Linked DNA regions of Oryctolagus cuniculus. The protein of the gene in region 2 interacts with the protein of the main gene of each other region in a biochemical or structural test. Links are inferred from orthologs where the notes say so. Each region holds a gene or a part of one and is shown on either strand. Other genes may lie near its edges.

Evidence for each region.
Region 1: the proteins of VDR (region 2) and HR form a complex in vitro, tested with the Homo sapiens proteins (2 studies listed by BioGRID and IntAct). The link is inferred for Oryctolagus cuniculus from reciprocal best matches to the Homo sapiens genes VDR and HR.

The regions. Positions count from the first base shown.
Region 1 is NC_091439.1:1,182,109-1,196,714, forward strand, and holds the end of HR (lysine-specific demethylase hairless), read left to right. Parts: coding exon 1-72; intron 73-1,415; coding exon 1,416-1,583; intron 1,584-2,329; coding exon 2,330-2,419; intron 2,420-2,530; coding exon 2,531-2,646; intron 2,647-3,915; coding exon 3,916-3,997; intron 3,998-4,331; coding exon 4,332-4,495; intron 4,496-4,620; coding exon 4,621-4,857; intron 4,858-5,018; coding exon 5,019-5,184; intron 5,185-5,316; coding exon 5,317-5,386; intron 5,387-5,536; coding exon 5,537-5,667; intron 5,668-5,807; coding exon 5,808-5,927; intron 5,928-6,025; coding exon 6,026-6,141; intron 6,142-7,753; coding exon 7,754-7,918; intron 7,919-8,316; coding exon 8,317-8,445; intron 8,446-8,600; coding exon 8,601-8,666; 3' UTR 8,667-9,777; downstream 9,778-14,606. Other genes in the region: 8-oxo-dGDP phosphatase NUDT18, read left to right, coding at 13,381-13,536, 14,179-14,392. UniProt on the Homo sapiens protein: Histone demethylase that specifically demethylates both mono- and dimethylated 'Lys-9' of histone H3. May act as a transcription regulator controlling hair biology (via targeting of collagens), neural activity, and cell cycle.
Region 2 is NC_091440.1:137,480,973-137,496,582, forward strand, and holds the end of VDR (vitamin D3 receptor), read right to left. Parts: intron 13,261-15,610; coding exon 13,076-13,260; intron 12,940-13,075; coding exon 12,831-12,939; intron 11,718-12,830; coding exon 11,546-11,717; intron 6,795-11,545; coding exon 6,643-6,794; intron 6,560-6,642; coding exon 6,443-6,559; intron 2,142-6,442; coding exon 1,882-2,141; 3' UTR 972-1,881; downstream 1-971.

The DNA.
Region 1 (14,606 bases), on a different chromosome or scaffold from region 2:
GTGGTCTGGGGGACCGGCTGTGCCGCCTGCTGCGGAGGGAGCGGGAGATCTTGGCCTGGGCACAGCGTGAAGGTGAGCGAAGCTCAGGGGCTTGTGGGGGAGGGGGCCCCCTCCCACCTGCCCTGCCTGTCGCCAGGCCTGCCAGGACCCATGGCTGTCAGCGCTGAAGTTTCTGGCTGCGGGGTGGTGGTGGCAGCGGCGGGGAGGGGGGGACCTGGGAAATAAAGGCTGGTCTAGCCCAATCCTCTGTGAGCTGGAGGACTTGGTGGGAAAACCAGACTGAGTGTGCCGGAGCCCTGCGAGCTGGGGAGCTCAGGAGGGCTTCTGGTAGGACGGGCGGGCGTTCGGCAGGTGCAGGCAGGGCCTTCGCTCCGCTCCTGGGGCTCCGGGCTCTTCCCCCGCAGCCCTTTCCCAGCCCTGAGAGGCCCTTGGCGGCGTCCTCCCGCCCCGGAGAGGCCGGGCAGGGAGAGACTGGGCCCCTGCCCTTCTGCAGCCGCTCCAGCCTGGACTCCGGCATGTGCCCCCACTCCGGAGTCTCACAGCTCATCCTTCCTGGCCCTGGCTGTTCCCTTGCTCTGGGATGCCCCGCCCCTCCCTTCCTCCCTGGCCCCACCCTATGGGGGCCGCCTGCATGCTCCCCACCGCTGCCTCCCTCCTGTTTCCGGTGAACCCCCCTTGGCCCTCATGGTGCAGTGTCTGAGCCCATCTCCCTACCTGGATTGGAATGTGAGCACCAGGAGGCGGGGCTGAAGCCCACCAGCTCTGAGTCTGCCTGCCTACCAGGCAGTGAGTGACCAGGGGTTCACGCTCCTTAAATCGTCTTCCCTAAAGAAAAAAAAATCTGCCTTGGGTGAGAGCAGGAGGCGCCTCTGAGGGTTTGCCCTGCTAATATGAGGCCTTTTAAAAATGCTTACGGGAACTGCAAGTTCATTTGAAACCTATGCACGGATGGATGGCAAAAAGAATTCTGCAGCCAAACGTTGGCTTACGTTTTTGGTCTGTTTTTCCGTGGACTTGTAGAAGGGCCTCCCAGAGACTTGAGGCCCCCTGGACGAAAGGCACGGGGGGGGGGGGCGAGGATTTTGAGTCAGGTGGCATGTTGGAGGCGGTGTGGTTTAGTAACCCACACCAGCAGGGAGAGCCTGGGACAGCACCGAGGGCGGGGCAGGAAGGGGGCAGCTGAGGCTGTCCCAGGGAGGGGTTTGCTGGACAGAGTGGTTTCTTGCCAGGAGGCCCTTGTCTGGGCTGTTGAGGAGGTAGGGGCCACCTTTAAAGGGCCTTTGGGGAGCGGGGCACCATGGGACACCCTCCAGGGGTACTGCTCTCTGCGTCTCTTGCTCTAGCTGTCTGCAGGCTTCCCGCTAGGGGCCAGTGTTGTCTTCAGCCCTCTGACCCCGTTCTCTCTCTGTGGTCAGCAGGTCAGGGGCCAACCGTGAGCGAGGACAAGCCAGGCAGTCCACGCTGCTGTAGCCGTTGCCACCACGGGCTCTTCAACACCCACTGGAGATGCCCCCGCTGCAGCCGCCGGCTGTGTGTGGCCTGTGGCCGCGTGGCAGCCGCCGGGAGGGCCAGGGAGAAGGCAGGTGAGACGGGAGGGAGGGGCTCCCTGGGGCTGAGGGGTGAGACAGAGAGCCGGGCCATTTGTAGGGGGGAGGGGTGGCGGAGGCCACAGCAAGGCTGGTCCACAGCACGGAGAGCGTCCCCACCCGGTGCCCAACCTGCCCGCCTGCCCATGGCCAGCGCTGCTCACTGCCCCTTAGAGTGGCTCTCTCCCTCCGCCTAGACCAGAGTGCCACGCTCATGTCCTTGCCGGCCCTTAGAGAAGCCCGGTGCCTCCTCTGTGCCTCCCACTGTGCTCAGCTAGCACCTGTCTTAGCCTGGGCTCACTCTGTGACATGGGTATTGTGGCCTCCGATCTTCAAACAAGTGAAATGCAGAGTGGCGTCGGCGCCGGGATGGGGCGCCGAGTCTGCCCTGTTCCCTCCACGGGTCTCTCAGCTTTCTCTTCCTTGGCCACCTGAGGACTCCCAAGTTTCCCCGTGTTCCCATAGATGTGGCCAAACGGCGTTCCAGGATGCGCTGTGTTCTGGAACATTCTCTTCCGTATGACCGCCCTGGGATCTTGCAAAGTGTCTCCGCGTATTTAAGGTCTCCGTGTTCTGTAAGCAGAGACTCCTGTGTTACGGTGTGAGCCGGGCTTCCCAGAAAGCACCGCTTGGTGAATTCTGGAGCCTTGATTTAGATGTCGCATCCTTGGCCGTCTTCCCTGACCTCGGCCTGTGGTCGCCTTGCATTCTGGACCTGCAGCCTCTCCCTTCCTACCCCACAGGCGCTCAGGAGCAGGCCACACAGCACTGTGCCCAGGAGGCCGGGCACTCCGCCTGCTCCCTAGTGTTAACCCAGTTTGTCTCCAGCCAGGGTGAGCCACCGTGGAGGGGTGGGGCGTGCAGAGGGTGTGTCCTGTCTGGTTGTCCATGCCCTTGTCACCACCAAACTCCCTTTCTCCCTCCCACCCCGCCTCCACGCCCAGCCTTGGCAGAGCTGAGCGCTGCAATGCACCAGGTCTGGGTCAAGTTTGACATCCGGGGACCTTGCCTCTGCCAAGCTGATGCCCGGGTGTGGGCTCCCGGGAATGGAGGCCAGCAGGTAAGAACCAGGGCCTGGCAAGGTGGCAGGGGATGCTGGTGGGACTGTGACCCCTTAGGGGGGGATGAAGAGGGACAAGGGAGCCAGTGACCTCAGACGGCTTCCTGCCTTCCCTGGGATTAGGACCCAGGCAGCCAGCTCTGGCACCTGGCCCACCTCCTCCCCACTGGAAGTCCTCGCTCCCTGCCTGCCGAGAGTCCTCCCCCACGACCTGCAAATCCTAGCACAGCACCTGCCACTGGACGCTGGGTGCCCTTTTGGAGGGTCCCCGGGCTCCTTCAGGAAACATACGTAGCAGGCATTCCTGCAGCATCTTAGCAAAGTTTGCGTGAAGTTCATGATTTGACTATAAAACTTGTCCACGCAACGATGGATGCACCGCGTGCGTGTCACATAGCCATCGTGGAACATTGGGCAAATATGGACAAGTGTAAGGAACACAATGCCGTGGCCTCGGACACTTCCCAGAGCTGCTCTGGTCTGTTCCCTCCCAGTCATTTGTCTGCCTATTTATTCGTCTGTTTTGCTACATGAGGGGACTTCCAAAAGTTCATGGAAAATGGAATGAAAATAGAAGGTTCTTTTGCTGCAAAAAAAGAAATATTGAAATCTACGCATAGTTCTTTTCCTAATGAAATGATTTATTTATTTATTTGAAAGTCAGAGCTATAGAGAGAGGAAGAGAACAGAGAGACAGTGTGAGAGAGAGACAGTGAGAGAGAGAGAGAGAGATCCTGTGATTGAAGGCGGCAGCTTTACCCTGCTACACCACAGGGCCGCCTCTGATGCATAGTTGTTTTTTATTTTAAATATGTATGTATTTATTTATTTGAAAGTCAGAGAGAGAGGGAGAGATGCTTGTTCACTCCCCAAAGGGCCGCAATGACCAGGGCTGGATCAGGCCAAAGCCAGGAGCCAGGAGCTTCATCTGGGTCTCCCATGTGGGTGCAGGGGCCCAAGGCCTTGGGCCATCTTCCACTGCTTTCTCAGGCACATTAGCAGGGAGCTGGATAGGAAGAGGAGCAGCCGGGACTTGAACCGGTGTCCATGTGGGATGCCGGCGTCGCAGGCAGCATTTTGCGTGTGCTTTCAGAGGACCCCTGTGTAGAAGTCCACGAGCAGCTCCGTCCTGCCTCGCAGCCCTTCTTGCTCCTAAAAACGCAACATTAGGACTTGCGAGAGCCCATGCCTCCTTCTTGTAGGTTGAGTTGTGTCTGCCGTGTTTTAAATCTCTGGTTGGATGGGGGGGGTGGCGGATGGGTTTAACAGAAGGAGCCGTCAGAGAAAACTGCCCCAACTGCTCAGCCTTCCTGTAATGGGGACATCACCAGGACCAAGGACATCAAAGAGGGTGAGCGGCCCCCCTGGTCCCTCGGACCGTGCAGGGGGAGGCTGGGCCAGACGCAGAAGCAGGAGGGGAGCAAGCAGTAGACGTCTCTAGGAGAGATCTGGAGCTGCCAAGAGACCCCCGGGCCCAGACCCCTGCTCTGGGCCCCGCCTTCTTCATGTTCAGGAGATTTGGGGGGGGGGGTTAAGAGATCCTGGGGCAGATTTGGGGTGGGGAGTAGCGGGGAGGGGACAGCAGGCTCAGCCAGGGGGTGAGGGCAGAGCACCATAGGCAGAGAAAGACAAGGGGCAACACATGAAGCCCCTCACCAGTCCCCTCCCTCCCACCCCCCCAACAGAAACCCCAGACTGCGGCGAGAACTCAGCAGATGAGCGTGCGGGCCGGGGGCCTCTGCCTTGTCCATCTCTCTGCGAACTGCTGGCTTCCACCGCCGTCAAACTCTGCCTGGGGCACGAGCGTATCCACATGGCCTTCGCGCCCGTCACGCCGGCCCTGCCCAGCGTAAGCAAGGCCGCGAGGAAAGGCTGGGGGACTACCCCCTGGGGGCGGGGACCTCCCCCCCCCCCCCCCCCGCCAGGCCCATGGCTTCTGAGCCTGCGCCGCCCGGCATCCCCTCCTCCCCGCAGGACGATCGCATCACCAACATCCTGGACAGCATCATCGCACAGGTGGTAGAGCGCAAGATCCAGGAGAAAGCCCTGGGCCCTGGGCTTCGGGCCGGGCCGGGCCTGCGCAAGGGCCTGAGCCTGCCCCTGTCTCCAGTGCAGCCCAGGCTGCCTCACGCCGGGGCTCTGCTGTGGCTGCAGGAGCCCAGGCCCGGGCGCAGCCTCCATCTGTTCCAGGAGCACTGGAGGCAGGGCCAGGTGGGGCTCGCGCGCTCTCCTCTCTCTCAGCCCTCCTGCCCCTTGGGCCCCAGGGCATCCAGGCGGGCAGCAGGGTTGAGTCCCGGTGCTATTGGCGCCGCGCTGCGGGCACGCCCCGCACTCACGCCCCGCCCCCCGGGGCCTCCTTCCTCCCACCTCAGCCCGTGTTGGTGTCAGGGATTAAGAGGACGCTTCGAGACAGCCTGTGGACCAAGGAGGCCCTCGGAGCGCTAGGAGGCCAGGTGCAGGTGCTAAGCCCCCTGGGCCCTCCCCAGCCCACGAGTGTGAGCAGCACAGCCTTCTGGGATGGCTTCTCCCGTCCTGAGAGTAAGCACCCCCCCAACCACGGGCGGAGGAGGGAGTGGGCGGGGCCTGAGCCACAGGTACCGGGAGTGCGGGCGGCCCGGGTGGCATGTGCTGCTATCAACGGGCCGGGGCCCTTTCTGTCTCTCTCCTCAGTTCGCCCCAGGTCGGACGAGGGCTCCATCCTCCTGCTGCATCGCACTCTAGGGGAGGAAGACAGCAGCAGGTGTGCGCCGTAGGGGGCCCAGCCCTGGCTCCCTCGCCCCCACCCCCACCCCATGCCGCTTGCTCCGTCGGTCCCCCCAACCCCGGGCGTCTCAGCGGATCCCTGTGCCTGGCTGGGCCTGCTGGGCATGACTCCCTCCCCTCCCCACAGGGTGGAGAACCTGGATGCCAGCCTGCCACTCCGAGAGTACTGTGCCCACCACGGGAAACTCAACCTGGCCTCCTACCTCCCGCCAGGCCCGTCCCTGCAGCCACTGGAACCCAAGCTCTGGGCAGCCTATGGTGAGTGCCCCCTGCACCCCCGCCCACTCCCCGACCCCTGACCCCTCCAGCATCGGGCACTCGTTTGTCGGTGCCAAGGTCCTGAGGCCTGAGGCACTTCTCTTATTCCGCTGCCCCCTCCTCCCCCCCACCCGGTGCAGGTGTGAGCCCACACCGTGGACACCTGGGGACCAAAAACCTTTGTGTGGAAGTGGCCGACCTGGTCAGCATCCTGGCGCACGCCGAGGGCCCGCTACCTGCTTGGCACCGGGCACAGAAAGGTGGGGCCTGGGCCGGAGACAAGGGCGGGGACAAGCTACTGAGGCAGGTGCCCATCTCCGCCGCCCCTGGGCCCGCCTGAGTGGTCTTTCTCCAGCAGATGTCCTCGCAGGCCTGGACGGGGAGGGGCTGTGGTCTCCGGGCAGCCAGGTCAGCACTGTGTGGCACGTGTTCCGGGCACAGGACGCTCAGCGCATCCGCCGTTTCCTGCAGATGGTGAGGAGGCAGCCCGGAGCCCGCCCCCTGCCCATATACCCGGCCCCAGAAGCTCCGCCCCAGGAGCAAGCTCCTGGCCCCGCCCCTCTGTACGGACAGGCGGACAGGCAAGGAGCAAGCAGACTGGGCTCAGAGAAGGAGCAGGAGGCGGCGGCGGAGGCGGGGCGCGGGGCTCGGGTCGCAGTGAACAGCCGTGACCACCGTCACACTGGGCCGCTGCCTGCCCATTTTGCTAGGAGAAAACCGCAGCCCGGTGGGAGAGCTGGGATCCGAGCCATGGCGGCCCCAGACCCCGGTCACCGTGCTGTGCTCTTCCTGGGGGCTCTGGCCAAGGGCTGGCAGGAGGACCAAGGGGAGCTCCTCTCTCATCTCCACCGAATCAGAAGGGACTTCCTGGTGGAGGTGCCAGCCTGCGGGGGGCTGAGGAGGCAGCGTGGCAGGGGAGGGAACCACTGGACCAGGATAGGACAGGGCAGGAGAAAGGGGTCATGGGAGTGGAAGGGAGGCACAGGCTCCAGGAGGGGCAAGAGGTCAGAGTTAAGGCCAGGGCAGGCCCCAGGTTCCAAAATCCAGCTGAGCCCTGATTGTGCTGGGGAAAACTAAAACAACTCCCAAAGATGTGCACATACACAGAGGGGAGACAGCACACCTTTATAAACCAATGGCTTCCCCTGGGCCGGGCTGGGTGTGGCTGACCGTGGGCTGTCCCGTGTGGCCCAACCCGATGACTCAGGGAGGAAGGTCTGAGACGCATGCTCACTGGCTGGCCTGGGAAACCCTGCGCTTGCCCCAGGATGGACTTGAATCTTGGCACCCAGCTGGGACTCCCCTCGGGTCTGAGCGGCCCCCTACCCCATGCCCCGTGAGCCATGGGGTCAAAGGCAGAGGGGCTGGCTGAGGAGGGTGGATTTCGCTGGTGGCCAGTGGTAGTATGCAGCTCTGCAGGTGCTCCATGGGCACCCCTAGCCCCGACAAGGCCCTGCCAGCCCAAGGAGCTCTCTGCTCTTTTGGGCTTGGGAAGCCCCCTGCCCCTGCTCCCCCGTGGCCGCACCTGCTGCAGGGGCCTCAGCCTGTCCAGCCACTGGCAACCAGAGCTTGTGGGTGGCCTTGTGTTTTCTGGATCCGGGCTCTCAGGAGAAGCTGACGAGAGCTTGGGGTTGGCTCCCCAGGGACTGAGCCACCTGCTCATCCATAGTTCAGGCCAACTCAGGTCCTGGGTTAAGACCCGCTGGTATAGACGGTGTGTGAGAGCTGGGGTCCTGTGCAGCGTCTTCTGGGGTGGCCGAGAAAGGGGTACCATTGAGAGGACTCAGAGGGGCCAAACGTGGGGTGCTGGAGCCCCCGGAAGGCATCCACCCTCAGGGAAAGCAACGATGTGGCCCCACAGCTCCTGTGCCTTGAGCCTGGTCCTCTTAGCGCTGTGGGGGCACAAGTTTGCTCTGCCAGCCCGACTGCCCTGCTCACCACGGGGGCCCTGCCTTTCCTCCCAGCCGCTCCCAGCCGCCAAGACTTTGGATGACTCCGGCTGTGTCCCGTGCCCCAGGCCTCCCCTGGGGAGCCCACGCCCCCGTCCTCCCAGCCTCCCTGTTCATCGGCCCTTCTCTTCTTTGAGGTCTGCCCCGCCGTGGCGGGCACCCTGGAGCCCGGCGCCCCGGGCAGCTGCTACCTGGACACAGGGCTGCGGCGCCGGCTGCGGGACGAGTGGGGCGTGAGCTGCTGGACCCTGCTGCAGGCCCCTGGAGAGGCTGTGCTGGTGCCCGCGGGAGCGCCCCACCAGGTGCTTCCCTGGCGGCTGCAGTGCGGGGCGGGTGGTGTGAGGAGGGGTGGGGGTCAGGCTGCCAGGGGCGCTAGGGTGTAGTACACAGAGCTAGGCATGATGGGAGGTGGCGCCTGGCACAGGGAGGAGAGGGGCTGAGTGGTCCCCTTGAGGGGTTCAGCCTGCTAGTATTGGCCCCGGGGATGGAATCTGGTCCTGGCCACGCCCCCTACACCCATGCACTAGTATACTGATGGGGAGGACCCTGTCCCCTCTGGCATCAGGGTATCTGGGGCTGGCCCCAGGCCCTGTGCCCCCTGGGGACTGGGCAGAGGGCAGCAGGAGGAAGCAGGGACAGGGGGAGAGGGCAAGATCGTGAGCCTCTGCTGACCCACCCGCCCGTGTTCTTCCTGGCACAGGTGCAGGGCCTGGTCAGCACGGTCAGTGTCACCCAGCACTTCCTGTCCCCCGAGACCTGTGCCCTCTCTGCTCAGCTCTGCCACCAGGGACCCAGCCTGCCCACTGCCCACCGCCTGCTTTATGCCCAGGTGAGTGAGACCCTCCCCCTGCCGCCAATGCAGGGTGCGGTGGGCATAGCAGGTCCAGCTCTGTGCCAAGGCAGGGAGGGAACGGGGTGGAGGGGGCTGGAGGTTGGGGACTAGGAACGTGGTAGAAAACCCTTTGTCTTCTCTCTCTGTTCTAGATGGACTGGGCGGTGTTCCAAGCAGTGAAGGTGGCTGTGGGGACATTACAGGAGACTGACAAATAGGGGAATCCCAGGTGTCAGAGGTCAGGGCAGGAGCAGGTAGACCAGGTGCTCAGCCCGGGTGATGCTTCAGCAGGGAATGAGGCTGGGGAGCTTGGGGGCTGTTAGTCACTCTCACAAGCACCACAGGCAGGGCACACGGTTCCTGCTCCCTGCCCAGAGTGCCACCAAAGCTGCACCTGCCCCACCCCGTATCCCCCTCCAGGGCACCAGGCCTACACGGGGGGTGACTAACTCCCTCCACCCTACCCCTGCCGCCTCCCTTGGGGGACCTCACAATCATTCTGGCTTTAGCAACTCTTACTTCTGTTGCCTCATCGTCTGCCCTTGAACTCCGCTTCTACCTCCCAGGTACCCCCTGGGCTCCCCCGCCCCGCAGCCCTGCACACTGCAGGCCGGTCTGCCAGAAGAGCCGGGAAGTATGGGGTGGGCAGGCGGGAGGGAGTGCCATGGGCCACGTCACCCTGTCTCACTTCCTTCTCCCCGATTCCTGATGTCCACTGAGGCCCGTGTGGTGGCAGCCCCCAGCGTGGGGGCGGGGAGGGGAGGCGTGCAGTCTGCTCTGGGGCAGGAGTTGGGGGATGGGAGGAGATGGGGACCTCAAACAGCACCGCCTGCTCTTCTTCTGGGCGCCCGGGCCCCTGCCCCCTCCCACGGAGGAGCAGATGGACCCCCCCCCCCCCAGGGGGACGCTTCGTGGAGATGCTCCTGACCGTGTGGCCATGGAAGGCAGAGCCCTGGGACCAACAGCAAGGTGGCCTCTCTCCTCCCAGTGGCTGCAGATTCCAAAGGCACACCCCTTCTGTCTCTCCTGCGCACCCTGACCCGGAGACCCAGGCATGGGGCCCAAGGGAGCCCTTGTCCAGTCCATCTGCCGCCGTGGCCACAGCCACCTCCAGGTCCGGCTGCCTGGGACAGCTTCATTCACAACCTCAGGCAGCTCCCGTCTCCTCCCCATGGCCCCTCTGGCCAGACTCTGCCTTCTACTCCCTCCCTGTGTATCTCAGCCCCAGACAACACCCTGGCTCTTGTCATACCTAATTCTTCCTGCTCTGGTTTGGGGAATGGTGTGTTTTTTTATTATTAAATAAAAATTTTTTATTATAAGTGTAAAGTGCTTTGAAAACCTTTAGAAAATAACAAACTCACCTTCAAGGCTCTCGCTACTCACCCCTGGCCACAACCCAACCACTATTACTGTGTCGGTAAATTTCCTTCTAGTACGCTCCGCAAGGATCTGTTGTATCCAGGACGTTTTGTACTTGGTGTCTCCCAGCACTGTTGTAATCGCTTTCTGTATGGCCCTAACCTTCATTTTAAGCGGCTGCTTCTAGTCCATCCAGTGGCTTTGTCATGATCTACATAACCATCCTCGTCTGAAAACAGATTTTAGGTTTCTTCCTGGTTTAGAGAGCTTGCTGGTTTTCACGTTTTCTTGGTATGAAGGGAAAAACTGGGAGAACTTTATGTTACCATGCGCCTGTCTGCACTGGCCACTTTCAGTCGGCTTTCACACGCCAGAAGAGGGAGCCGGCAGGTGGGGGTCACCAGCAAGGTCAGTGCAGATCTGGGATTTGAACCAGGTTTTCTGATCAAGGCTCCGCACGTGTGAGAGTTCTCGCCGCTGAGACGCTGCTCCCGCTTGAGCACTTTTAGAGCCGATCAGGCACCAAATGACACGTTCCTCCCGACATGTCAGCTGCCGAAGCCGAATCCCGCCATCACCCCAGACCAGGGCCCTTCCCAAGGGAGGGTGAGGCTCTGAACTGTGTCCATTAGGGGTGCCGACGGCCCAGGCACTGTCCCCCTACCCCCACCCCCCCTCCCAGGTAGGTGCAGGATTTGCGAGTTTCACGGGGAATGGGAATGGGGGTTTCAGTGCAGTGGTTAGGACGGGGGCGGGGGCGGGGGGGGGTGCCTGCTTCTCGTTCCGGAGTGTCAGGGTCCGAGGCCTGGCTCTGCTCCAGGTCCCGGCTTCCTGTTCATGAGCACCCTTGGAGGAGGCAGCCGGTGCTGGTTCAAGTACATGGGTCCCTGCTACCCATGTGGGAGACCCAGGTTGAGTTCTGGGCTCCTGGCTTTGGCCTGGCCCAGGCACTAGCTGTGTGGGCACTTGGGGGAGTGAACCAGTGGGTGACAGTCTTCTCTTTCAAATAAATAAGTATTTTTTAAAAGTTCGTGGAAAATATGTGTTATGAAAAATACTATGCATGGATTTAAAAAAATTCTTCTTTCATTCTGTTCTCCATGAACTTCTTGAAGTACCCTCACATCTGGTCTCTGTAAACAGCAGGTGGGTCAATGCCCATTTGCTCCAGGGCTGGGCCTGGGAACAGAGCCAGTCCCGGTGGGGGCTGACCCTGGCCCTCGGCTTGGGGCACCAGTGCCCGGGAGAACCTTGGGCCTCTGCTTCTACCGGGGTCCGCAGTTCAATGTCCACCTTCTGCCGCCAGCCCAGACACCACTGACACGCCCGTCACAGAGCTGGCAGGGAGCTCGGCGTATACGTAGTCAATGCCTTTTTTTCCTTCTCTCTTCTAAAATCCTCAGATGTTTTGTGCTGAAATAATTGTGGTCCGACGGCCGTGTCACCAAGATAGCACAGAAAGCGCCCAGGTGCCCCTCCGCCAGCTTCCCTTAAGACAAACATCTTCCATAAACCCAGTGCCCTCGGCAAAACCAAGACAATACCATCACTGCGTCCCACTGAGACGTCCCGGCTTGCCCACTCTCCCATCCCTGGGTCCGGCAGTTTGTCCATGTTTGACCTTGGCTCCCCCCAAGGTCATTCAAACAGCAAGGAGGCTCTGCCACCAGGCTGCCCCCTCCTGCTGACCACTCGGCCAAGAGCCAGGGCTGCTGCCCTGGAGAGGAATCTCGGGCTACAGACATCTCTGCCCTGCCCTGCTCACCCGTCCATGTCCATGTCCACGTCCATGTCTGCGTTCCTGTGCTGAGGCTGCTGACCCCAGGCCGCCCAGCTCACGTGCGCCAGTTGGGGCACTCATGTCCAATAGGCGGGGCGGCCGCCCGCTCTGGCCTCTGGGAACGGAGGCCACGGGGCAGATTTGAAGATTCCGGAGAGCTTCCGTATCTGCCCCCCCACCCCCCACTTTGTGTGTCTCCCAGGCTTAACCCAAGCAAGCCTCTTGGTGCTGGGGAGGGCGCTCCCCGCCAGGGCCCGCAGGGCCGCTGGACAGGAGGGGAGCGCTCTCTTGGTGAGAACAGGGGTGGGGTGGGGGGAAGTGGAGCTGAGGTTTAGGGCGGTTGGACCGTCTGGTGTTTATCTCAAGATGCCTCTGACGCTCTCAGAGCCATGCCCAGACATGATCTCACTCTCTCGTTCAGTCATCCCTGGAGGCAGAAGGGAGTCTGGCAGCAGTACTGCCCCCACTTCACAGGTGGGAAAACTGAGGATCACACACGCACGGAGCCAATCTGTTGTCCTGGGGTACTGCACCCAGCCCCAGGGAGCTGGTTGAGAGGTGTTGGACAGGGCAAGTGCCTCAAAAGCTTAGGGGGTGCCCGTGTGGCCCTGCACAGGGCTCTGTCTGCAGCAAGCGTGCAGCCAGTCCCCCACCGCGAGAAGGGTCTACGGCTCCCCAGTGGAACCTGTTCTCAGGCACAAGCCAGGAGGGTGGGCCTTTGCGGCGTAGCCCAGCCTGCAGGCTCCGGGGCTGCCCGGGGCCCACACGGCTCCTCTCGAATAGCCTGCCTTGCCATCCACCCTGGCCAAGAAAAGCTGCCAGGAACCTAATCGGAAGCCCACCACATCCCCAAGGAGCGCAGAGCCGGCCGGTCAGCAGGGCGGGTGGGTGGCTTTGCTCTCATCAGCCAGCTACTGTCCCCAACCCCCGAAGGCGGAGGGAGGAGGGGCCGGTGGGGGAGGCCTGTGTGGGTGAGGAGCCCAGACTTGGCTGGCTCTTCGGATTCCTCCCAGCTGGCGGCGAGGAGGAAAGGTCAGGCTGAGCCGAGCGAGCGGGAGCTGGCCACGCTGCAGCGCCCTGCGCAGGACACGCCGTGGACAGGAGGACGCTAAGGGCAGCCCCCAGTGCCCAGCCCTGTCCCCTCCCCGCGTCCGGCCCGCCCCGATCGTGATCACTTAGCATTTAGGCTGTCACCCTCAACCGACTTTTTATTATGGATCAGAACCTCGCGTTCCCGAACCCCAGCCCTCGGCGGGACATCCAGTACGTGTCAGCGAAGTCAGAAGAAAGTTACTTAGGTCGTCATCATCTCAGACAATGCCCTGGCGGGTTAAGACAAAAGGCGGGGGCCGCGGGTCCCGGGGCGGACACCCTGGCCGCCGTGACGTCATCGGGCCTGTGACGTCACCGCCGCGGCGCCCCGCACCCTGCGGGCCAGATGGCGTCACCATCGGAACCTGCGTAAACAAGTATGCGCTCGGGGAGCCGCGGCGAGAGAGAGACAGAAAGAGACAGAGAGAGAGAGACAGCGCGCTGACCCTGGGGCAGGAGCCGGGCCGGAGGTCCGCTCGGCCCCACAGGGCGTTAGGCCCCCTGACGGGCTGGCCCCGCCCCGGGCGGCCGGCGCGGGCCAATCCGGGCGGGCCGCGGCGCCACGCAGCCTATCAGCGGCCAGGGCTCGCCGGGCGCTTCCGCGTTGGGCAGCTCGCCGGCGCGGGCCGGGCCGCACGCTCGGCCGCAGCCCCGCCTGGCCGCTGCGCGGGGCCCGGGCCACCGCCCGCCGGGGCCCGATGGCCTCGGAGGACCTGGCGGGGGCGCTGGCGGCCGTGCTGGAGGGCCGGGGGCTGCGCGTGCACAGCTGTGACTCGGGGCCGGCCGGGCAGCCGCGAGCGCGGCTGCGGACCAACGTCTCCTACGTGGTGCTGGCCGTGTTCCTCAACGAGCAGGTGAGCGAGCCCGCCGGGCCCTGCTGGGCACGAAGACACAACGGCCAGGGCCGGCGCCGCCTCGCGCGTGGCGTTCCCCAGTTCTGCAAAGCACTCACTCACGCGCGCCTCGCAGCCCTGTGGGTGGCCGGGTGCACAGAGGGCTGCGCCCTGGCCCTCGGTTCCTGCAGCACAGAGCTCCCCTCCCCCAGGGCCTAGCACGGTGTGAGCTGGCTCCCCGGGACGTCTGAGGCGTGGCCTGCGCCCCCCCACCCCCACCCCCGCCTGGTTATGGCACAAGGCAGGCTCACGCTCAGATCTGACCCCTTGTCGCTGCTCTGGGTCCCTGTTGTAGGCTGTGAGATAAGAATCAGAAGGGGCCAGAGCCCCAGGTGGGCCTGCATGGGGGTGTTGGGGGGGGATCAGAACCCAGACCCCAGAGTGAGGACCTGCCACTAGGCTGTGCACCCCATGGGGACGCGGGAGACACACAGTGACACAGTGGAGACACACGCGCAGCCCGATCTTGACCCACAGAGAGCAGCTGGCTGCAGGCCCCCCGCCCCCAGGGAGGGGGTCTTGGGCAACCCCAGGGCAGGGAAGGGCCTGGCTGGCTGGCCTCTCCCGTGCGTGGTGGAGAGTGCCAATCCCCTCTCCCCTCAGGACGAGGTGCTCCTGATCCAGGAGGCCAAGAGAGAGTGCCGGGGGTCGTGGTACCTGCCGGCGGGGAGGATGGAGCCCGGGGAGACCATCGTGGAGGCCCTGCAGCGGGAGGTGAAGGAGGAGGCGGGGCTGCAGTGTGAGCCCGAGACCCTGCTTGCCGTGGAGGAGCGAGGCCCCTCCTGGATCCGTTTTGTGTTCCTGGCTCGTCCCACAGGTATGGCTCTCCTGGGGCAGTGCCGTAGCCGCCTTCCTCCGACTCCTCCACCCCCACCCTGTGGTCTTCCGGTGAGATGAGCCCACTCCCTAGCCAGCCCTGTGCTGACTGCTACAGCTCTGGCACTGGCAGACCCTAGCCTGGGGAGGTGGGAGTGGGGGAGGCTCAGCCCCGGCCCCGGCCCCGCTCGGGGTTAGAACCAGGGTGGCCTGCC
Region 2 (15,610 bases):
GCCCGAGGCATTGAGCCATCACCGCTGCCTGCCAGGGCCCACATCCGTGGGCAGCCGGAGTCAGGAGCCAGAGCCAGGAACTGAACCCAGAGGACTGTGCCCGGCGTCCTAACTGCTACATCAAACGCCTGCCCAATCCAATGGTAGCTATTTTAAGTCTAAGCCTTCTCCATCCAGTGGCCGAGGTGGCCACAGTGCGAGCGCAGGTGGGGAAAGTGATGACCACACGCAGCAGCCTCAGAGTCACGAGGAAAAGCCTGGCTCTCCCAACATGCCCTCAACCCGCCCTCCTCCCGGCAAAGCCGTGCCTCCGAGTCCACTCGCCTTTCCCGACCAGGAGACCCTCATGCCCACTCACGACGCGTGAGAAGCCCTGGGTTCAAGAGCTTTTCAGCCGCACAGGCACACAGAGCGACTACCTCGGGACAGACACGGGCAGGAGCGCCTTCCCGTGCACGCGGCGCCCTGGGCCCGTCAGCCACCTGCACCTGCTGCCCTGGGAAGGCCTCAGGTGCAGCCACACGCGCCTCAGGGGCGGGACTGATGGACCCTGCTCCTCGGGGCCCACCTGAGAATGGGACCCCTCCCCTGCAGTTTGGGACGGTGCTGTCAGGCCCCTCAAACTGTCCCCACCAGAGGCGGCAGGGGGTGGTCAGGGCCGGGGAGTCCTCAGGGAGCGTGCTCGCCCCCCGGGAGGTGCCCCAGGAAGGGCAGCTTCTTCACGGGTTTGCTCCAGTCTCTGCTCTCAGGGAGTCCCCGGTAGCACCCCACCCTCCCTCCCGGAATCTGTTGCCCCGCACTTGCTCCCGACCCCGCTCACACCTCGGCTTCCGGTTTGCAAGCGCCTTCTGCACACGCCCCCAGCCCCACCCAGCCCCACGTTCCCCTCCTGCACTGGGCTCCCAGGTGGGCGGCAGGGGCTGCGTCCCGAGCTCCGCCTGGTCAGAGCCTGGAGTAGGCAAGGCCGCGGGCAGAGCGGGGCAGACGCGTTTATTGATCAGCGTTGAACAAGGAGGAACCCGGCACTGATTCACATTGAGACAGAGGCTCGGAAGGGAGGTCCTTGTGTGGAAGCCGGGGCTCCCCGGGGGGCAGGGTTCTGGCCGCAGGGTGCACTTGCTCAGTGACCTCCAAGCTTCGAGTCCTGCAGCTGAACCTCAGCCAGGGGGTCTCCTTGGGCCCCTGGGCAGCAACCACGGTGGTAACTGACGCGAGGGCCGGGGGCGCTGCTCCCCTCTGTATCAGAACACAGCATAGACAGTGGCAGTGGTACAGCTTCCACAGGACGGCTGCTGCGGGGCCAAGTCTGCCCCAGGGGTCTCCAGACTCTCCTGGTGGTGGCAGCCATGTCCCCCAACTGCCCCCCCAAGCAAGGAACGTCACAGGTTCAAGGGTCTCACCCGACTTCTCAGATGGCAGCCACCCACCACCTGGCCCCAGAGCCCTAGAGCAAGTGTCCAGACAACAGGGGTGGGAGGCCCTCGGCAGCCCTGCCCAGGTCAGGTGAGCACAGACGGGCAATGGGACGTGGTGGTGGTGACCCTCTGGCCGTTCGCTGTGGGGGTGACCCTCTGGCCGTTCGCTGTGGTGGTGACCGTCTGGCCGTTCGCTGTGGGGGTGACCGTCTGGCCGTTCGCTGTGGGGGTGACCCTCTGGCCGTTCGCTGTGGGGGTGACCCTCTGGCCGTTCGCTGTGGGGGTGACCCTCTGGCCGTTCGCTGTGGGGGCTCAGGAAGAGGGCCTGGGCGCGTTGTCATGCCTGCTGGATGCTCAGCCAGCACTTGCAGTCCCCTGCGGAGTGGGGCGTCTCCCTGGGCCTGTGGCAGGGCAGGGGTGGGAGGGGAGGAGTGGGGTGGGCTGCAGGGGCAGAGGGGGAGGGCGGTCAGGAGAGCTCATTGCCGAAGACCTCGAGCACCAGGGGCGTGAGCTTGGTGCTGCTCCCCGGCTGGAAGGACAGGCAGCGGTACTGCTTGGAGTGCTCCTCGTTGAGGCCGCGCAGGTCCGCCAGCTTCTGGATCATCTTGGCGTAGAGCTGGTGGCTGCCCGGCGGAGGGTGGCGGCAGCGGATGTAGGTCTGCAGCGTGTTGGACAGGCGGTCCTGGATGGCCTCCACCAGCCGGGTGTCCTGCACCCCGGGACGGTCTGGGCGTGGGGAGGGGGGCACAGGGCTCAGCCTGCAGCCCCCACTCTCCCTGCCTCGCCCCACCCAGCATTCTGTGGCCCCAGCCACACCTGCTGGAACCCACCGTCCTGTGCTTTGGGTCAAGTCCTACTTCCACCTCCACATCCTGTGCTCTGTCCATCAGTCCCTCTGTCCTGGAGCTCCGTCTCCACTCCATGTCCCTCTGTCCTGGAGCTACGTCTCCACTCCCTGTCCATCTGTCCTGGAGCTACGTCACCACTCCCTGTCCCTCTGTCCATCTGTCCTGGAGCTCTGTCTCCACTCCCTGTCCCTCTGTCCTGGAGCTACGTCTCCACTCCCTGTCCATCTGTCCTGGAGCTCCGTCGCCACTCCCTGTCCCTTGTCCATCTGTCCTGGAGCTCTGTCTCCACTCCCTGTCCATCTGTCCATCTGTCCTGGAGCTCTGTCTCCACTCCTTGTCCCTCTGTCCTGGAGCTCCGTCTCCACTCCCTGTCCCTCTGTCCCTCTGTCCTGGAGCTCTGTCTCCACTCCCTGTCCCTTGTCCATCTGTCCTGGAGCTCCGTCTCCACTCCCTGTCCCTCTGTCCTGGAGCTCCGTCTCCACTCCCTGTCCCTTGTCCATCTGTCCTGGAGCTCCATCTCCACTCCCTGTCCATCTGTCCATCTGTCCTGGAGCTCCGTCTCCACTCCCTGTCCCTCTGTCCATCTGTCCTGGAGCTCCGTCTCCACTCCCTGTCTGTCCATCTGTCCTGGAGCTCTGTCTCCACTCCCTGTCCATCTGTCCATCTGTCCTGGAGCTCCGTCTCCACTCCTGTCCATCTGTCCATCTGTCCTGGAGCTCCATCTCCACTCCCTGTCCATCTGTCCCTCTGTCCTGGAGCTCTGTTTCCACTCCCTGTCCCTCTGTCCTGGAGCTCCGTCTCCACTCCCTGTCCCTCTGTCCATCTGTCCTGGAGCTCCGTCTCCACTCCCTGTCCCTCTGTCCATCTGTCCTGGAGCTCCGTCTCCACTCCCTGTCCCTCTGTCCATCTGTCCTGGAGCTCCGTCTCCACTCCCTGTCCCTTGTCCCTCTGTCCTGGAGCTCCGTCTCCACTCCCTGTCCATCTGTCCATCTGTCCTGGAGCTCTGTTTCCACTCCCTGTCCCTCTGTCCTGGAGCTCCGTCTCCACTCCCTGTCCCTCTGTCCATCTGTCCTGGAGCTCCGTCTCCACTCCCTGTCCCTCTGTCCATCTGTCCTGGAGCTCCGTCTCCACTCCCTGTCTGTCCATCTGTCCTGGAGCTCTGTCTCCACTCCCTGTCCATCTGTCCCTCTGTCCTGGAGCTCCGTCTCCACTCCTGTCCATCTGTCCATCTGTCCTGGAGCTCCATCTCCACTCCCTGTCCATCTGTCCCTCTGTCCTGGAGCTCTGTTTCCACTCCCTGTGCCTCTGTCCTGGAGCTCCGTCTCCACTCCCTGTCCCTCTGTCCATCTGTCCTGGAGCTCCGTCTCCACTCCCTGTCCCTCTGTCCATCTGTCCTGGAGCTCCGTCTCCACTCCCTGTCCATCTGTCCATCTGTCCTGGAGCTCCGTCTCCACTCCCTGTCCCTTGTCCCTCTGTCCTGGAGCTCCGTCTCCACTCCCTGTCCATCTGTCCATCTGTCCTGGAGCTCTGTTTCCACTCCCTGTCCCTCTGTCCTGGAGCTCCGTCTCCACTCCCTGTCCCTCTGTCCCTCTGTCCTGGAGCTCCGTCTCCACTCCCTGTCCCTCTGTCCATCTGTCCTGGAGCTCTGTCTCCACTCCCTGTCCATCTGTCCATCTGTCCTGGAGCTCTGTCTCCACTCCCTGTCCCTTGTCCATCTGTCCTGGAGCTCCGTCTCCACTCCCTGTCCCTCTGTCCATCTGTCCTGGAGCTCCGTCTCCACTCCCTGTCCCTTGTCCATCTGTCCTGGAGCTCCATCTCCACTCCCTGTCCATCTGTCCCTCTGTCCTGGAGCTCCGTCTCCACTCCCTGTCCCTCTGTCCATCTGTCCTGGAGCTCCGTCTCCACTCCCTGTCTGTCCATCTGTCCTGGAGCTCTGTCTCCACTCCCTGTCCATCTGTCCCTCTGTCCTGGAGCTCCGTCTCCACTCCTGTCCATCTGTCCATCTGTCCTGGAGCTCCGTCTCCACTCCCTGTCCATCTGTCCCTCTGTCCTGGAGCTCCGTCTCCACTCCCTGTCCATCTGTCCATCTGTCCTGGAGCTCTGTTTCCACTCCCTGTCCCTCTGTCCTGGAGCTCCGTCTCCACTCCCTGTCCCTCTGTCCCTCTGTCCTGGAGCTCCGTCTCCACTCCCTGTCCCTCTGTCCATCTGTCCTGGAGCTCCGTCTCCACTCCCTGTCCATCTGTCCATCTGTCCTGGAGCTCCGTCTCCACTCCCTGTCCCTTGTCCCTCTGTCCTGGAGCTCCGTCTCCACTCCCTGTCCATCTGTCCATCTGTCCTGGAGCTCTGTTTCCACTCCCTGTCCATCTGTCCTGGAGCTCCGTCTCCACTCCCTGTCCCTCTGTCCCTCTGTCCTGGAGCTCCGTCTCCACTCCTGTCCATCTGTCCATCTGTCCTGGAGCTCCGTCTCCACTCCTGTCCATCTGTCCATCTGTCCTGGAGCTCCGTCTCCACTCCTGTCCATCTGTCCATCTGTCCTGGAGCTCCGTCTCCACTCCCTGTCCCTCTGTCCTGGAGCTCCGTCTCCACTCCCTGTCCCTCTGTCCATCTGTCCTGGAGCTCCGTGTCGCTCCCCCTCTTTGTGGAGGAACGACACAGGACCCTGCGCTGTTCTTTTGTCTGCTCGGCCCTCCCCGGGTTTGCTGCTGGTTCTTCCCGGGTTGGCTACCGTCCCTTCCACCTCCATGGAAGGGCGGTTCCCCCTGCCACTTTTCCCACTTCCGCGGGGGAGCGGCACACCGCCGGCCGGCTCTCTCGGGGGCTGCACAGGTGTTCCTTCAGATAGATGTTCCTGGTGCATGTTGTCTCTCTCCTCCTTTATAGTCCTCTTCCACCAATCCCAACTCTGCTACCCACACGCCGAGTACGCTGCTCTCCTCCAATCAGGAGCAGCATCAGCTCCTGCAGGTCATCACTCAAGTTTGCGAGAGGCAGCTGCGTAGAAGTTGTTACTCCCTTCTCAGTGCCATATTGTGGGAGAGCAGATGCATAGAATAAGTCTTAATTCCAGTAACAGTCTAGTCCGAGTTGCTCCCCACAGCTCCATCTCCACTCCCTATCCCTCTGTCCCTCTGTCCTGGAGCTCCGTCTCCACTCCCTGTCCATCTGTCCTGGAGCTCCGTCGCCACTCCCTGTCCATCTGTCCTGGAGCTCCGTCGCCACTCCCTGTCCCTTGTCCCTCTGTCCTGGAGCTCCGTCTCCACTCCCTGTCCATCTGTCCATCTGTCCTGGAGCTCTGTTTCCACTCCCTGTCCCTCTGTCCTGGAGCTCCGTCTCCACTCCCTGTCCCTCTGTCCCTCTGTCCTGGAGCTCCGTCTCCACTCCCTGTCCCTCTGTCCATCTGTCCTGGAGCTCCGTCTCCACTCCTGTCCATCTGTCCATCTGTCCTGGAGCTCCGTCTCCACTCCTGTCCATCTGTCCGTCTGTCCTGGAGCTCCGTCTCCACTCCTGTCCATCTGTCCATCTGTCCTGGAGCTCCGTCTCCACTCCTGTTCCTCTGTCCATCTGTCCTGGAGCTCCGTCTCCACTCCCTGTCTGTCCCTCTGTCCTGGAGCTCCGTCTCCACTCCTGTCCATCTGTCCTGGAGCTCTGTCTCCACTCCCTGTCCATCTGTCCTGGAGCTCCGTCTCCACCAGGGTCCCCATCAGCCTCCCTCTGTCAGTCAGTTGTTGAACCGCAGCAGGAGCAGGTGCCTGCCCAGGCTGCCTGGGGCACGAGCCAGGGCCCAGCCTGGTGCCCGGTATCCGCCATAGCTGCGGGGCCTGGGGCTCCCCTCACTCTGACGCTGGGGCACGGAAGCTTCTTCCTCAGCCTTTTTCCCTCTCCCTGCCCAAACAAGCGGAAGAGGGGGGTCCAGGCGGTGCCACCCCCAGGCCCTGACTCTGAGGAGCTGCAGCCACAGGAAGCCCAGCCGGCTCCACAGAGAGCAGGCCCCGGTCTGGAGGACACCCAGGCCCACACAGGACCACCGAACCCGGCGCTTTGGCTCCTCGGTGACCTGCGGTCTCCACAGAGCAAAGCCGTGGTCTCAGGGGCCCTCAACACAGGCAGCAAAGCGGTGCCTGCCATGGGCCTCTCCGCCTGGGGCCCTCTGTCCTGCCCGCTCCCCGCGGCCGGGCACACCTGGGGACACGATGCAGATGGCCATGAGCAGCACGTGCTCTTCCTCGTGCAGGTTCAGCTTCTTCAGCCCCACCTGGAACTTGATGAGGGGCTCGATCAACTCCAGACTGTGTCCAGCTGGGGGAGACAGGTGCGTGCTGCGGGCAGGTCTGGAGCCACCATGCCCCCCTCCCCCCCGGCCCTCCGTGGGCTGGACGCACCTCTGGTCACGTCGCTGATGTTGTACTTGTAGTCCTGGCTGCCGCAGTCCCAGGACATGTCGTCCGTGGTGAAGGACTGGTTGGAGCGCAGCATGATGACTTCGATGGCGCTGGACTTGAGCAGCACGATCTGGTCTTCGGAGGTGAGGTCCCTGAGGGGAGGGGCCGACACGACAGCTCAGTGCACCTGGAGCCCAGGTGACAGGTGAGCCCCAGAGCCGAGCAGCCGGGCCCCCCTGCGCGCCCACCCCAGCTCTCTGCGGGGCTCCCCTCCACACAGCCCCCGGCTGGGGCCGAGGTGGGAGCGGTGGCAGTAGGAGGGCAGGGCAGGCGGTGGGGTGGGTGTGGAGCCAGGCTGTGTTTCTGAGCACAAAGCCACTCATCAGCAGCCCACGGGAAAAGGGACACGCAGAGCCCACTCCCCTCGGTGCCCCCAGCTCGTCCTGGGCTCTGATCCCCGGTCTGGCTGTTTGTGAGGGGCCTCCCGGGAAGCACACGCCGCTGGGACGAGAGCCTCCGTCTGAGTCGCCAGCGGGGCCTGCCTGAACACGGCCAGGAGGGGCAGACCCAGGCTCTCCCCTGCCGGCTTCTCCTCCTGACGGATACTCCAGAGAGCGGCCGCACGCATGCGCATCAGGACAGGCAGCCCTGATGGCTCCATGTCTGCTGGGATGGCCGCCCGCATCTGCATGGAGCAGCCCAGGTGTGGGAGCAGGCGGGGCCCCCTCCAGCGCCTGGCCTGACACTGCCTCCACGGGACGCAGCTGGAGCCGGGTGCTCGCGGCCCGCACGGTGCCGCAGTCCCGGAGCTGCGCTCGGCTGCGGGGACCGGAGTCTTGCCTCGTTTCCCAGGAAGAACGTCATGCGTGCCGACGCTCTCCCCTACCCTCAGTCCTCATTTTAACATAAAAACCGACCCCACCCCACTTGGGTTTAGCTCATCAGACAAGTAAACCATAGCTTCTCATACATCCCTGGACAAAACAGAAAAAATACAAAGGCAAAGAACAAGGGCTCAGAACGCGCCAAGCATGCGGCGCGCTCCCTGTCATCCGTCTGCGCAAACTCGCGTTCTGCAGCCCACTTCCTGTGTCAGTGAAACTCCCGCGGCCCACTCGCGGCGGGTGCGCACCTGACTCACCCCATCAGCCTCCCCTTCGCCTGTTTGTGGACGTTTTGGTCACTTGTCACCCCTCCCACCCAGAATAGTGCATGGTGTGTGAGTGTGGTGGCATGTACAGGCGTGGTGGACCGTGGTGGCATATTCAGGTGTGGCGAGTGTGATGTGTGTACAGGTGTGGCGAGTGTGATGTGTGTACAGGTGTGGCGGTGGGTACAGGTGTGGCGAGTGTGATGTGTGTACAGGTGTGGCGGTGGGTACAGGTGTGGCGAGTGTGATGTGTGTACAGGTGTGGCGAGTGTGATTTGGGTACAGGTGTGGCGGTGGGTACAGGTGTGGCGAGTGTGATTTGGGTACAGGTGTGGCGGTGGGTACAGGTGTGGCGAGTGTGATGTGGGTACAGGTGTGGCGAGTGTGATGTGTGTACAGGTGTGGTGAGTGTGATGTGTGTACAGGTGTGGCAGTGGGTACAGGTGTGGTATTGAGTGCATGGACGTGAGCACGGTGCTGAGTGCTGAGCCTGTGGCGCTTGGCAGAGATGTCAATGGCTTTGCCGCTTACCGTGACCTAGACAAGCCGCTGCCACAAAAGCAAAGCCACATGGACCCACAACCCCACCCACAGCCTGGAAACACAGGACACTGTAGGTACAGCCACAGCCGGAGCGGGGGACAGAGGTGGGTGGGAGGTGGCGCTCCAGAGGAACCCAGTATGACCACTCCCCATGCCAGCCAGGCGCTTCCTGGATTGTGAGCCCCTGCTGGGTCCCTGGGCTGTGGCTGGGTTGTGCTGCCCCGTCCTCCCCACCCAACCAGGGCTGTGGCCCTGTGGTAGGGGAGTTGCTCCCTGTGTACGCCCCCCAGGAGGCAGGGACGGTGTCATGGCCACGCCTAGGCCCAGTGCCAGAGGGCTGAGCAGAGGGGAGAAGCCCCGGGAATGCATGTACAGGGGCCACCACTGCCCCCTTTGCCAGCCTCTCCCATGGCACCAGCTACTCCAGGGACCTGTGTGGGGCAGCCCAAGGGCTGGGCACAAGCAGGAGCACAGCCACAGCAGCCATCGCCCTCCCCACGCCGGGGCCCGCCCACAGCAGCGAGAGCAAAGTGTGGTCGCAGCAGAAGCCGGGCAGGCCCCGAGCAGCCACACCAGGAGCTTCTGCAGCCACCACAGGCACAGCTGCCCCAGGAGGGCTCACTCCACACGTGTCCATCACTTCCTGTCTATTGGTCAGTCACAGTGCAAGAGGGGACCTCGTAAACTCTGAGGACAAGGGAACCGAAAGAGATTTATTTAGGTAGAAAAAATGTTTAACTCTATGCACAGGAGGAGTCTATAGAGATCATGAAAAGTGAACATGAAAACGCTGTGCACATTTGAAAAATGATTTTTGGGCAAAAACATCTTTTAATTCCCTGCAATTCTTGAAGTCTCTATGTGCATTAATTCCATGGCAATGGAACATATCAATTTTAGAGAGAAGGAGGGTGCAGAAACACATAGCTGTAGACACAGTGGTCTCACCACATATCCACAAGGAAGGTACAGATACACTCAGATACAGACACATGGTCTCACCATGTATCCGCAGGGAGGGTGTAGATACATTCAGATGTCGACACAAGTTACACCATGTAACCACAAGGAGGGTGTAGATACACTCAGATGCAGACACAAGTTACACCATGTAACCACAAGGAGGGTGTAGATACACTCAGATGCAGACACAAGTTCTCACCTTGTACCCACAGGGAGGGAGTAGATATACTCAGACGCAGACACACGGTCTCACCACATATCCACAGGGAGGGTGTAGGTACACTCAGGTGCAGACACAGGTTCTCACCATGTGCCCACAGTCAGGTGTAGATACACTCAAATGCAGACACAGGTTCTCACCATGTGCCCACAATGAGGGTGCAGGTACACTCAGATACAGAAACAGGTTCTTACCAAGTATCCACAGGGAGGGTGTAGATACACCCAGATACAAACACAGGTTCTCATCACATACCCACAATGAGGGTGTAGGTACACCCAGATATACATACATGGTCTCACCATGTATCCTCAGTGAGGGTGTAGGTACACTCAGGTGCAGACACAGGTTCTCACTATGTATCCACAGTCAGGGTGTAGATACACTCAGGTGCAGAAACGGTCTCACCACGTACCCACCGTGAGAGTGTAGATACACTCAGATGCAGACACAGGTTCTCACCGTGTGCCCACAGTCAGGGTGTAGATATACTCAGATACAGACACAAGTTCTCACCATGTCTCCACAGTCAGGGTGCAGATACACTCAGATGCAGATACACGGTCTCACCACGTACCCACAGTGAGGGTGTAGGTACACTCAGGTGCAGACACAGGTTCTCACTATGTATCCACAGTCAGGGTGTAGATACACTCAGATGCAGACACAGATTCTCACCACATATCCACAAGGAGGGTGTAGATACACTCAGATACAGACACACGGTCTCACCACATATCCACAGGGAGGGTGTATATACACTCAGATACAGACATAGGTTCTCACCACCTATCCACAGTGAGGGTGTAGATACACTCAGATGCAGAAACAGAATCACCACATACCCACAGTGAGCATGTAGGTACACTCAGATACAGACACAGTCTCACCACATATCCACAGTCAGGGTGTAGATAACACTCAGACGCAGATACACGGTCTCACCACATATCCACAGTCAGGGTGTAGATACACAGATACAGACACACAGTGTCACCACATATCCATAGTCAGGGTGTAGATACACTCAGATGCAGACACACAGTCTCACCACAGTCAGGGTGTAGATACACTCAGATGCAGAAACAGAATCACCACATACCCACCGTGAGGGTGTAGATACACTCAGATGCAGACACACAGTCTCACCACATATCCATAGTCAGGGTGTAGATACACTCAGATGCAGACACAGAATCACCACATACCCACAGTGAGGGTGTAGGTACACTCAGATGCAGACACACAGTCTCACCACATATCCATAGTCAGGGTGTAGATACACTCAGATGCAGACAAGGTTCTCACCACGTATCCACAGTCAGGGTGTAGATACACTCAGATGCAGACACAGAATCACCACATACCCACAGTGAGGGTGTAGATAGACTCAGATGCAGACACACGGTCTCACCACGTACCCACCGTGAGGGTGTAGGTACACTCAGGTGCAGACACACAGTCTCACTAGGTATGTACTGAAAGTAACAACAGTCTACTGGTTTAAGAATATCAACACCACCTGCATGGTTAAATAGAAGCTTCACACACCACTGCCAACAGGAGAACACTGGACTAAAAAGTGGAACTCCTCTGAGTGACCTCACTCACGCGCCTGCTGGCTTGGAAAAGACCAGGTCACGGCCACCGCTGCCACGCGTCCTCTGGCTTCCTGCACTGCTCCCTGTCTCCTCTCTGTCAGGTTTTCTGGCTCAAGACTGTGTGCAGAGGCATCAGCAGGCCGCAGTTAGAGGCACAGTCTGGGGGTGAGGTCCGCTGTGGACGCGCCAAGGGGCTGGCTCCAGCTCCAGGAAGGAGCCCCTGGTGGCCACCGAGATGCTCGGGGCTTTCCCTCCATCTCAGGCATGGGGAGGGGTCATGTTCCCAACAGGCCCTGGAGCCAGCAGGGAGGCCTGCACTTCTGGACACACAGATATGGGCTGGCTTGAGTCTGGTCAGCGGCAGTGGACTGGGGGCCCCAGGCCACGGGTCCTGAACCCTGCTCCAGGCATGACGGAGCCTCTCACCTGAACCCTGGGATCATCTTGGCAAAGCCGATGACCTTCTGGATACTGTAGCTGACCAGGTCTGCCAGGTGGGGCAACATGGAGAGATGCGACAGGTCCAGCGTCACCGAAGGGTCATCTGAATCTTCCTGGTCCTGCTCCAGGCTGGAGAGGCTGGACGGCTCCATCAGCTCTGGGGAAGTGGAGGGAAGAGGAGGAGCTCACCCCGCATGCGTCACGGAGGCGCCGGGGTCTGCGTGGGTGTGGGGGGAACCAGATGTGTGCACTCAGGGACCACAGCGATGCCGCTCATGGACAACAGGAGCCAGGCGAGCATCCAGGTGCCCCAGGTACACACCCGTGACACAGCCGGGCGCAGGTGTGTCGGGATCGCAAGAGGTCTGCAGGGTGTCACGGAAAACACACAGGATGGAAAAACCATGCACGACTTGAAGAAACGTTTGCACCAAAATCAGTATCTTTCCTTCTATTTCCCACGAATGTTGTGGGAACTCTCCAGGGAAGACCTTCCAGCATCTATCCATGATAAGCATCTTCTAAAATGAAAAGCGCTAACTTGTGCACACAGACACTGAGTGCGTCACAGCTGGGGTTCACGCCCCCTGTCAGTCAGCTGTAAGTGGCGTCACTCCAGCTGGCACGGAGCTGCCGAGACGCGGAAGGGGGACTTGGATGGCAGTGGGGAAGGGCAGGAGTGGGTGCAGAATTAGCACAGGGGGCCCACACCAGAATCTGGGGGTGGGGATCTTGCTGGCACTGACCCCTCCCATCTGTCCACCCATGAAGCTTCATCTGCCGCCTCTGTCCAGGCCGTGCTGGGACCCCATCCACCCATCCTGGTCCCAGCACTGGGGCCGCAGGTGGCGGATCTGGGGCTCAGCTTGCTTGGAGTGAGGGCTTTCTCCATCCCCATCCTCCTAACAACCCCTGGTGTGGGACAGCAGGGCCAGTTGAGGGGCGGAGGGAGAACAGGGCAGGTGGCAGGGTGAGTGGTCAAGGGGTGTGAGAGGAAGAGCCGTCTCCCACGTGCAGGTGGCAGGGCCCAGACTGGGGGTGCTGCAAGGGGCTACTCCAAATGCCCCCTCCCAGGGGACTTGGGGACAAAACACTCTCACAAGGAGCCAGGAGAGCTCCAGGGAACGGCCATGGGCAGAACCTGGCCCCACAGAAGGGGCCTGGGCGAGAGGCGGACCCTAGCCTGGCCTCCTCCCAGCACAGGCCTGGGGCACGTTCCCCCACCCCGGCCAGTGCACTGGGCTGGGCTCTCGCAGGGGGCCCTGGGTACCTGAGAAGGAACTGAGGTGGTCTGAGCCCGAGCAGCAGGAGTCCCCGGAGCAGCTGGGTGTGGGCTTCCACGGGTGGCTCTGTCCACGCTCCGCCTCGCGGATCGGAGGCTGCAGGGAGACACGGGGTCTCAACTCTCCCATCTCCAGGGAGGCCCATGGGCCAGGGCTGTCCAGTGCTCCAGGGCCAGGAACCTGCCAGGCTGGGCCCCACCCCCACCCCGCTCCTGCTGCCGGCAGCACACACCCGGAACTGGCAGAAGTCGGCATAGGTAGGGTCGTAGGTCTTGTGGTGGGCGTCCAGCAGGATGGCAATGATGCGCTGCTGCTCGTCGGACAGCCTGGGCCGCAGACTGTCCCTCAGGGCCTCCTCCTCCTTCCGCTTCAGGATCATCTCCCGCTTCCGCTGCACCTCCTCATCCGTCAGGATGACTGCGGGAGGGGTGGGAAGCGCGGGCAGTCGGCGACCGCCTGGGCCCGCACAGGCATGCGGGGGACCTGGGGGTCTCCAGGTGAGAGGCAGGCGCCTGGGAGAAGAGGCAGAGCCCAGGCCAGGCAGGAAGGCCCCTTCCCAAGCACAGACTTCAGGAGGTGGGGACCGCAGGCCCCTGGGACGGGCTCAGCACACACGCCCGCCCTTTCTTGCTCCTTCCTCTAAATGGTGCAGGCGTGTGCGTGTGCGCACGTGGGTGCACGTGAGTGTACAGCGGCAGCCCCGTCTGGAAGGCTGGGCCGTGCTCGGATGGGAGGCTGTGCAGAGCTCCCTGCAGTGCCCAGCCCGCTCCCCAGGTCCCACCCACACCCACCCACACAGGACGCGGCGCCTGCCTGCGGGCACAGCAGCCCCTCCCCCGCCGGCCTGGCCTCGGCATTTCTGCCCAAGGCGGTGCCCGCATGCTGCCGTCTCTGGCCCCAGCAGGCCTCGGAGGCTGCCTGCCCGGCTGTGCCGGGAGCGGGTGCCCAGGCCTCGACTTGCAGCTGCTCGCTCTGAGGCGCTGCCAGTGCTCTGCCCACAGAAGCGAGGCTTTCCCAAGAGCAGCAGCAGGAGCCAGAGCCCCACGCTGGGTCCCGGAGCTTCGGCAAAGGCCGACAGGGCCCGGACCTCATGCAGGGGAGCACGGGGGAGTCAGAGTGTGTGTGCACGTCCAGAGCCTCGGGCAGAAGGAAACGGGGCTGGCAGCCAGAGACGCAGGGTTCCCCCAGCTGGAGGCAGGCCGGTGCAGGAGCCTGACCTGGCTGCCCCAGAGCCGCCGGCCATCCGCCCCCGGGGTCTTGGCCCCCAAGGGCATCTTCCTGGAGGAGGGGCTGCGCTGGGGCTGTGGTGGCTGGGCTGGGTGTGGAGGGTGCTCAGAAGCCCTTCCCGGCTCCTGCCCACTTGCCACAGCCAGGTCACAGCCTCCCAGACCCTTGGACGCAGCCTCCCACCTTGGGCACGTGGCGTTGGCCTGTGCACGCAGCCAGCTCTGTCTCCACGCAGGCCGAGCCCCTGCGCCAGGCTGCCTCCCTCGGCTGAGTGAGATCTGGCCTCCCTGATCTGCGCGGGGCGCCCCCTCTCTGCCTGCTGCACAGCTTCCCTGTTCACTGGGCACCTGGGCGTCTCCCGCTTGAGATATCCAGGGTTAGCCAAGGGTTCAGAGCCCGGAATGTGCTTAAGAAGCCGAGATAAGGGCCACTGAGCTGTATGGGCCCGCCCTAGGTGTGCATCTCCCCCCAGGAGCCGGGCACTGTGGTGCCCACGTCAGGAGTCACCAGCGATGGATACAATGTAGCAGGCACCACACTGACCACTGCCCACACCCTCACCAACCTGGTTACTGCCAACAACCCGCAAGGCAGGTGCTGCCATCGGCTTCACACATCTCACCCGGCCACACAGCCAGCAGACTGGGTCAGGCTGGCTCTGGAGTCAATGGGGCTAGCCACTGCGCTGTACTGCCTGGGTGGGACTCCAGCCTCAGCCTCAGAGTGCTGACGCCCAAGTGCTGCTGCCCAATTCCAGGAGCTCCTAAGTGACCGGAGTCACCTTGTGACCTCGTCCTTCCCATCCCTGGCCTCAAACCACCCCCGCTCCCACAGGGCTGCAGAACAAACGCTGAGCCGTGCCCATCTCTACCACGGGTCAGGGGCTGTCCACGGCCGGTGCTGTCGCCACCCAGCAAAGGCTGCCTAAAGGCTATTCCTTCCCAGGGACAGACACGAACACTCACTGCCACACGCAGAAAGGGACCTGTCTGGGGGTGGAAAGCTGTTCACCAGCATGAGGGTAAACAGGCCCGAAAGGGTGCTGGGTGGGCTCCCGGGTGGACGGAGCGTGAGCTCTGGGCCCTGACACTGGAAAGCTCCAGGGCTGCTCCACAGCTTCCTACGCCTGCGGAGCTGCTGGCCCAGGCTGGAGTGGTTCTGGGCAGCTGTCCCCATGCCACACACGGCCCTGCCTCTGCGAAGTCAAGATCTGCTCAAAAGTGATTTGCAGACCCTCGAGATGCCCGTGGCAGCCGAGTGATGGCGGAGGGTAGGAACAGTCCTGCTGCGGAGTGTCCCTTGGGGGAAGGCTGGGACCACCTGCAGAGCTCCTGGGGAATGGGCAGGACTCTGGGCTGCTTCCAAGGCTCTACCTTATTTTCTGCGGGAGCTCTGATTTCTTTAGGCCCCTGTCACACACAGGCTAGTGTCTACCTTCCCAGCCGACATAAGGACTGGCAGGGTCACGAGTGACAGCCATTTTCAGATGTGACAGAAACACACTGCTGCAGAGACCAGGGCAAGGTGCAGAGACACCAAG